Linked DNA regions of Cricetulus griseus. The protein of the gene in region 1 purifies or fractionates together with the protein of each later gene. This does not show direct contact. Links are inferred from orthologs where the notes say so. Each region holds a gene or a part of one and is shown in the gene's direction. Other genes may lie near its edges.

Evidence for each region.
Region 2: the proteins of Epas1 (region 1) and Ep300 purify together in Homo sapiens (affinity purification with western blotting; 4 studies listed by BioGRID and IntAct, with this or other methods). This does not show direct contact. The link is inferred for Cricetulus griseus from reciprocal best matches to the Homo sapiens genes EPAS1 and EP300.

Annotation. Positions count from the first base shown.
Region 1 is NC_048598.1:88,387,064-88,391,655, forward strand, and holds the start of Epas1 (endothelial PAS domain-containing protein 1), read left to right. Parts: upstream 1-1,657; 5' UTR 1,658-2,300; coding exon 2,301-2,326; intron 2,327-4,592.
Region 2 is NC_048595.1:378,786,724-378,790,533, forward strand, and holds part of Ep300 (histone acetyltransferase p300), read left to right. Parts: intron 1-718; coding exon 719-869; intron 870-984; coding exon 985-1,131; intron 1,132-1,433; coding exon 1,434-1,547; intron 1,548-2,667; coding exon 2,668-2,833; intron 2,834-3,686; coding exon 3,687-3,810. UniProt on the Homo sapiens protein: Functions as a histone acetyltransferase and regulates transcription via chromatin remodeling. Acetylates all four core histones in nucleosomes. Histone acetylation gives an epigenetic tag for transcriptional activation.

The DNA of each region.
Region 1 (4,592 bases):
TCCCTGCAGGTTAGAGGTATTGCATAGTCACCTGTCAAGCACAGCTCAGGATTCAAGAGCTCTAGAGGAAAACAATGTTAGGGTCCTTGATGCTGCCAAAGTGCTTGGGTTTATTTTTTTTTAATTATTGTTTGACTTTCCCCCCTTCCTCCATTCCAGTCTCAAGTGACTTAAATATGCTTACCGTTTATTATAACCATGTCTAATAATTTGCGTTTCTCATTAAGACAAATAAATGAGTCTGGCAGTGTTGTCTGGATGGAGAAGTGCTGTAGGAAATCACCCACCAGTTTCTTTGAGTGAAACAAATGAATGATCTTTGAGATCACGGTCAGGTATGTGGATTGATTTCCAAGTTCTCAAGGAGAGTGTCTATCGTTTCTGATTTCCCTGCTCTCCTGGTTCCTTCAGATACCTTCCCAAGTCTCTGGGAAAATGCCTGAAAAGTGCCTCTCTTCCTGTGTACCTACACAAACTCAAGATCCGTGTCCCCCCCCCCCCCCCCGCAGCAACACACACCGGGTTTCTGCTTATAATTTTACTAAGAAACGTTGGTGAGAGAGTAATGCAGTGCGTACTGGATTTGGGTCCCAGGACAGCTCACTTTGCAGTTGCTTGCTTTCTGGGTAAGTCACACATGTGAAGCTCATGGGCCTTTTTCCCAGTCTTCGCTTGTTCCTTCTGGAGATCTCCCCTTGGATCACCTAATTAGGAAATGGGAAAGTGTCAGGGCAGGAGCACCTCACAAGTGGAAAAGGCCAAAAGAGCTCTCTGCCTGCTCGTGAGGGACTTTAGATCCATCACTTCCTGAAGGTGGTGTTATTATTCGATAACCCTGGAGCCCAAGAGGGCGGGCAGATCCAGTGACTTGGGGTGTGCTATCAACGCTCACCCCCAAGATCACACCAGGGAACCCATGGTGATGCTGGCTTATTTATTGAGGCCTGGCAAAGGCAGGCCGGAGAACTCCAAGGCCCTCTTCTCTAGTATGCGCCATAACCTAACAGCCGACCACAAGCACCTCAAACAACCCACAAACTGGTAGAGAAAAAGACACCGCAGGAGCAACCCTAAATAATTTTATTTTTGTCACATTTTCTCCCACACCTTTTCCCCCTCCTGCCTCTCGGGACTCAGAAGTCAAGGTCAGCTGCGCTTCGCCAAAAAGAGCGCACCACCCAGGCTGGCAAGCAGCACTGCAGTCGGAGTCCTGGGAATTATTCCCACCTGTCAGGGGAAGCCGCACAGCTGGGGCAGGGACGCATAGCAGCACCTGTGAGTGCGGCTCACGCCTCCGCTGCGCGTGGGACCCCCCCCACCCCACCCCGACCCCGCGGTCCTGCCCTGGTTCAGGGAAATGTGCTACTGAGAGGACCCTGGAGCGAAGTCACTCTCTGGGCTCGGGTAGCCGACCCCTTCCACTACTCAGCCCGGCGCTGAGAGTACCACAAAAACAAGTGCTGATCTGCGGAAGGAGGAGGCAGGGCTGGGCGAGCTAGGGAGGAGCTCAGCCGGAGAGAAAGGGGCGGTCCCGGGTGAGGGCAGAGGCTGTGCCGGCGCCTCCTCATTGGCCGGGACGAGGCAGCCAGCGGGTAGGGGCGGAGCTTGTCTGTCTCCCCGCCCCGGCCCCGCCCATTCCCCACCCCGGCCCCGCCCCCGGGCCGCTGTTGGGACTCCCGCGCCCCTCGCGCCCTCCCGCGGGCGGGCCGTCCGAGTTTTTAAAGTGGGCTGGCAGCCGAGGAAACCGGACATTCGAGAGCGGCCGGTGCACAGCTTCGGAGTCTCCAGCGTTCCGCTCCAGCTCTCCTGAGGCGGCCGTACAATCCTCGGCAGTGTCCTGAGACTGTATGGTCATCTCAGCGGCCGCACTCGCCTGGCCCCGGATTCTTTCCAACTCGCTCTCTTTGAGCCACTGTTTTTGTTTGTTGGCTGGTTGGTTTTGTTTTGTGACATCCCAGAAAACTGACTCCTGTTTGCGGATAAACGGAACTTCAGGTCCCTTGTCTCTGCTCTCTCCTTTGGCGTCTTACAACCTCCTCCCACTCCTTTCCCCGGCCCCGCCTCCTCCTACAGGTTCCTCCCCGCCACCCCTCTCCTCCCTCCTCCTCCTCCGCACCTAGCCAGGCGTCCGCCAAACTTCCACCTGATTGTGCGGGACACTCGGACCTGCGAGCACTAAAGACCTTTCACACCTGCCGGGGCGACAGAGAGCCGCCGAGGGCCACAGCTAAGGCAGCGGCTGCAGCCCCTACCGGCCTAAGGAACCCAGGTGCTCCGGGTCTCGGAGGGACACTGCAACAATGACAGCTGACAAGGAGAAGAAAAGGTAAGCGGGCGTCGGAACCGGCGACCAACTCAGTGCCAGGCAGTGGCGGAACCGCGCGAGGCGGGCGCGACCCGGGACAGTTGCGGGAGGTCTCGGAGGCCGGGGGACCGCTCTGGAGGTGGCGGTGGGTGGGTGGGTGAGCGAGCAGGTGCGGACTTTACGGACGCGCAGCTGCCGCTTCACAACAAAGTCGCGAACCCGATCGTTCTGAGACCTTGAGTCACAGAGAGGTGGCCCTGGAGGTCAGGGGTGCTTCCGCGGCGCCTTCCAAAGTCTGTCGTCCCCAGAACACCAAGCTCTGGGGTTTGAAATGTTTCTGGGCTGATGCCCTCGACTTTCTCAGGGTTTACCTGCTGAGCAGACACGCCTTTCTTTTCCTAAGACCCCTTCAGGTCTTTCCGAGAGCTCTCCTTTGCGGGCTCCGCGCCCCAAACTAGTAAGGGACAGAGGGCAAAGCGCAACTCGGGGGCGCTTCCTGGCCCCAGGAGCCGGAACACGGCCAAGTGCCCTGCTCCTGAAGGCACTCAAGTTTTAGAACACCCCCTTCCCTCGCCCTGCATCTGGACTCCACCAGAGAGTGGGTAGTGACCTGGATTGCCCTGCGGGGGCAGGTGTCTTAGTGTGCAGAGAGAGGACGGCGACACCGGACCTCTCCGAGTGTCTGAAGAAGACAGAGAAGGGCAACCACGAAGGCCTGTCCTCGCGAATCTTTCCGCACTGGGTGAGAGGCAACTCCGGCCAACTCGCGCTGCCCTAGTGTCTCCTTCAATCCGCCCCGGATCAGGCGACACCGGCAGGGCTCTCTCAGAGCCTGGGTGCGAGCGCACCACGCTGCCGCGCAGCCCTGGGTACACCCTCGCCTCCTGCAAAAGTTTGTGGCTAGTCGCCTGGCCCTTTGCTCCTGTTTCGACCGGTGCGAGCCTTTTGGGCTAGAGCGTCTAACACTGGGCTCAGCGGCTACTTGGCTAGGGTGGCTGGAATCGAACGCAGGATGTCAGAGTGGCGCGGGCCGCGCGGGAGATCCGCAGGCAGGATGGAAAGGACTGCGCTGAGGACTCGGCCCCAGAGCAGACTGGCTTTTGTTTGGACTTCCACTTAGGGACCCGAGCCAGGAACAGTGTATCCTCTGGTCGAAAGCGACAGCTCCCACCTCAGGGCACCGATAAGGATTTGATAAACGAGCGAATCGCACCCGTCCTGGCCAGGCGCCCGCACCGTGCGCTGACGGATCTCTAGGGGGAAGGTATTGAGTCGGGTTCTAGATTCCCCGTTGTTGCCCACCAAACAGCTCTGGGGTGCTGTGTCCTTTGAGGTTATACAAGCAAGGGAAAAGACTCAAGCTGTAAAGGCAATCAGAATGCAGTCATAATCAAAACCGCGAAGTCAGACAGCCCAGAGCCGCCAGGGGAACTTACTGAACTTTTTATTCCTGCGGTGCCTATGGGTGACTGTCGCATTTGTACAGATGAGGCCTGATGGTAATCGGTGTGAAGTGTCATCTTGCTCTTAGGTCTACCAATCATGGGAAAAGCTGCTTCCATACCCGACTTACAGAAGCCTCCTTAGCAGAGGGCTGTTGGAGGGTGCGGGGAGCCCCAGTAGGAACAGGAAGACAGTTGCATAATAACACTACAAATTACCGATGAGTGCAAGCGGCCGCTTTAAGAACCAGTGAAACACGCTGGCCTGTGAACCTCCTAGGAGGCCGCTGCGGGTGTGCAGCTCCCTAGTGGTAGCCCAGCAGGGATTTTGCGTGTGTTAAGGTAAGGCAGGGCAAGCCTTGTGCAAGTTCCCTCACTGCCCAATGCCTGTTAGGCCAATGGCATTGAGACTCTGGTTATATTGGCTGGCTTCTTAGAGCATCGAGATGTATTTAAAAATTGTGAAGCAGGGCATTGAATGCCTCACGAAATTGTTGTGAGCTGCAGGGTTTCCTGAAAGATTTGTATTTTTATTGGTTTAAGAGCTGTTTCTTCTCTAGAATATAATTGAACATTTTTCATTCTAGAAACAGCCCCTCAAGAATCCAGAAGGATTGTTTCTATTCCCAGGCATCCCTGTATATACTAATCCATAACAATTAAGAGCAAGCCTTTTCATTGTTGGCTGGCTAACAGGCTTTGACAGAGGGAACCATGTCCAGCTCTATTGAGTTTAGATGAAGCAGAGGTCTCACCAGTCTTCCAAGGTTCCTGACTCTGGGAAGAGCTAAGTATGGATGTGCTCAAGTGGAGATTTGCAGGGCAGAGCAATTAAGATAAATAGA
Region 2 (3,810 bases), on another chromosome or scaffold:
GCTGGGATTAAAGGCGTGCACCACCAACGCCCAGCAAAATGAAATAATTCTATATACTGAACTATAAAAAAAAATCTTTAAAAGGGATTTTTGTTAATTTTTTTTTTTTCTGTTCTGACACATGTTAAAATGTGGGCCATATGTAAAATTTATTGACTAGAATTATTGTCACAGGTTTCCCCCTTTAGCACTGCAGAGGTAATTTTAGGCCTTACATAGTCCTATGTGGTGGCGGATACCTTTTTTTTGTTTTGTTTTGGTTTTTTTTGTTTTGTTTTGGTTTTTTTTTTGTTTTTGAGACAGGGTTTCTCTGTGGCTTTAGAGGCTGTCCTGGAACTAGTTCTTGTAGACCAGGCTGGTTTCGAACTCACATAGATCCGCCTGCCTCTGTCTTCCGAGTGCTGGGATTAAAGGTGTGTGCCACCACCACCTGGCTGGTGACAGATACCTTTAACCCTGCACAGCGGAGGCCGAAGCAGGCAGATATCTGTCAGTTTGGGGCCAGACTGGTCTACAGATTGAGTTCCAGGATGGCCAGGGCTACAAAAAGAAATCCTGTCTCGAAAAGCAAACAACCATACAAAAATTAAGTAGATTATGTTTGTAGATGAACCTCTAGATTGACAGTAAAAATTTGATGCATGGTATTTTCCTTCTCTTTAATATTTGGAATTGGGCCAGGCCACACCTTGGTAACTTTTAACTTTTATATTCCTAGGATTGCCATCTACCAGACTTGGTACCTTTCTGGAGAATCGAGTGAATGACTTTCTAAGGCGACAAAATCACCCTGAATCAGGAGAGGTCACTGTTAGGGTTGTTCATGCTTCTGACAAAACTGTGGAAGTGAAACCAGGCATGAAAGCAAGGTGTCTAGTAATTTCCATTTCTTCTCTTATAGATCTGCAGTTGTTGCATGGTCAGTTACTGTTGATAAATTCCACCTGAATAATATGTGGTTTCCTTTCAATCTGAATTGTGTAGGTTTGTAGATAGTGGAGAAATGGCAGAATCTTTTCCATACCGAACCAAGGCCCTTTTTGCCTTTGAAGAAATTGATGGTGTTGACTTGTGTTTCTTTGGCATGCATGTTCAAGAGTATGGCTCTGACTGCCCCCCACCCAACCAAAGGTAGGACTGACTTAATATGACCAGCTTCTCATTTTGTGAGGGAGTGAATGGCAGGGGGATTGGGTTCATACTATAACTAGTGCAAAAACACACTGGGCAGAAACAATGATATGTATAGCATGAACCAGGTAAAAATTACATGGAAGCTATGGCCAACTCTGGTCCCCACTCAGCCACAATCTATGATTTTCCTATGATAATTTACAAATAACAGTGAGCACAGGAAAGAAAGGAAGATGTTTTTAGCCATGTAAATAATAACTATGTGATAGAACATTTTTCTCTCCTTGTTTTTGATATAGGAGAGTGTACATATCTTACCTCGATAGTGTTCATTTCTTCCGTCCTAAATGCTTGAGGACTGCAGTCTATCATGAAATTTTAATTGGATACTTAGAATATGTCAAGAAATTGGGGTAAGCATATTAACAATTACTCTCTTTTAAAAATAATGTATTGTGGAAATGTGTAAGTGTGTATTTGGCCTTCTCATGTTGATTGTGATATAGTGAAGCCACAACCTCTGTAATATGAATCTGATGTCATTATATGTTTCCCTGCCTTACTAATCCATTAGTAGTGTAGTTAAACCGTTATGCTTACAGTTTGAATTAAAAGTTGTTGATATTGGCTGGAGAGATGGCTCAGCAGTTTCCAGAGGACCTAGGTTCAATTCCCAGCACCCACCTGGTAGCTAACAACTGTCTGTACCTCCAGTTCAAGGGGATCAGACAACACCCACACACCAATGCACATAAAATAAAATTGAAAAAAGTGTTGATAGTACTCATTTGAAGATGAAATTTTTCCTTGATCCTTTTGTAATGGGTGTAAACAATGAAAAAAGTTGAATGTCATGGTGTGCATTTGTAATTTCAGCATATGGGAGGCTTGAGGCTGGAGAGTACAAGTTCGTTCCTAAGTTAAGATCTGAAGGTAGTCCTGGCCTTTTAAATACATTACATCCTGGAGAGTACATGCCATCTAACTTCTAGAAGATTCCTCCTAGCAGTTCACCTTGCATTTCACTTTTGTTAGAATGGGTTCTTAATCCTTTGCAATATAGTTATCTTTTATTTGTTTTTTATTTATTTGTCATGGAATCTAACTCAACTCTAAATATTTATATTTTCTTAAGAGCAAGGAGGTTTTTCCCAACCATAACTACAGTACCTATTAAATTTAGGAAATTTAATATCAACTAATACTGTCATTGGTATCCATTTTTTTCTTTTGGATTTTCAAGACAGGATTTCCCCTTTTAGTTTTTGAGACAGGGTTTCTCTGTATAAACAGCCCTGGCTGTATTGGAACTCACTCTGTAGACCAGACTGGCCTCAAATTCACAGAGATGCACCTGCTTCTGCCTCTCAAGTACTGAACTTAAAAAAGGTGTACATGACCACTGCCCGTGTCTTTTCATCTTAAAGTACAGATTTTAGGATCAAGAACTATGTCAGCCCATCTGTAAATGAAATTCACAACACTCTAGCACAAATGATTTTTTTTTTTATGTCCTTATCTTTGTATTTTTAGATACACAACAGGGCATATTTGGGCATGTCCACCAAGTGAAGGGGATGACTATATCTTCCATTGTCATCCGCCTGATCAGAAGATCCCAAAGCCCAAGCGCCTACAGGAATGGTACAAAAAGATGCTTGACAAGGCTGTGTCAGAACGTATTGTCCATGACTACAAGGTCAGTTGGAACATGGAAATGTATTAGTCTTGCTATTTTCTGTCTTCTCTTATGTTCTGACTTATAACATGTAACTGCTATAATTAGGCTAATTCCTTAAAGTATATTTTTAATAATATGTATGTATGTATGTTTGTTTGTTTGTTTGTTTGTTTGTGTTTTGTTGTTTGAGACAGGGTTTCCTTGTGTAGCTTTGGAGCCTATCCTGACACTTGCTTTGTAGACCAGGCTGGCCTCACACTCACAGATCCACCTGCCTCTGCCTCTGCTTCTACTTCTGCCTCCCAAGTGTGGGATTAAAGGCATGTGATACAACTGCCTGGTGGCACACCTTTAATCACAGCACTCAGGAGCAGAGGCAGGTGGATCTCTGTGAGTTTGAGACCAGCCTGGTCAACAAGAGCTAGTTCCAGGACAGCCACCAAGCCACAGAAAAACAATCTCAAAAAACAGGAAGGAAGGAAGGAAGGAAGGAAGGAAGATAGATAGATAGATAGATAGATAGATAGATAGATAGATAGATAGATAGATAGATAGATAGATAAGGTTTATTTTTATGTATACAGTGTTCTGCTGGCATGTATGCCAGAAGAGGGCACCAGATCTCATTATAGATGGTTGTGAGCCACTCAGTACCTCCGGAACAAGAGTCAGTGCTCTTAATTCCTGAGCCATCTCTCTAGCCCTGTTGGTACCATTTGAAATGTGTTCTCAATGTCTCTCTGACATGTGCCCTGGAGGACATTTTTATTTTTGCCATAGAATGAAACCTTTTAGAAAAAAGAAAGCATAGAGATTCCTATTTGTAATTTACTTGGGGTTTTTAATTTGTTTGTTCATTTGTTTTTAACAGGATATTTTAAAACAAGCTACTGAAGATCGATTAACAAGTGCAAAGGAGTTACCCTACTTTGAAGGTGATTTCTGGCCCAATGTTCTGGAAGAGAGCATTAAAGAACTTGAACAGGAAGAGGAAG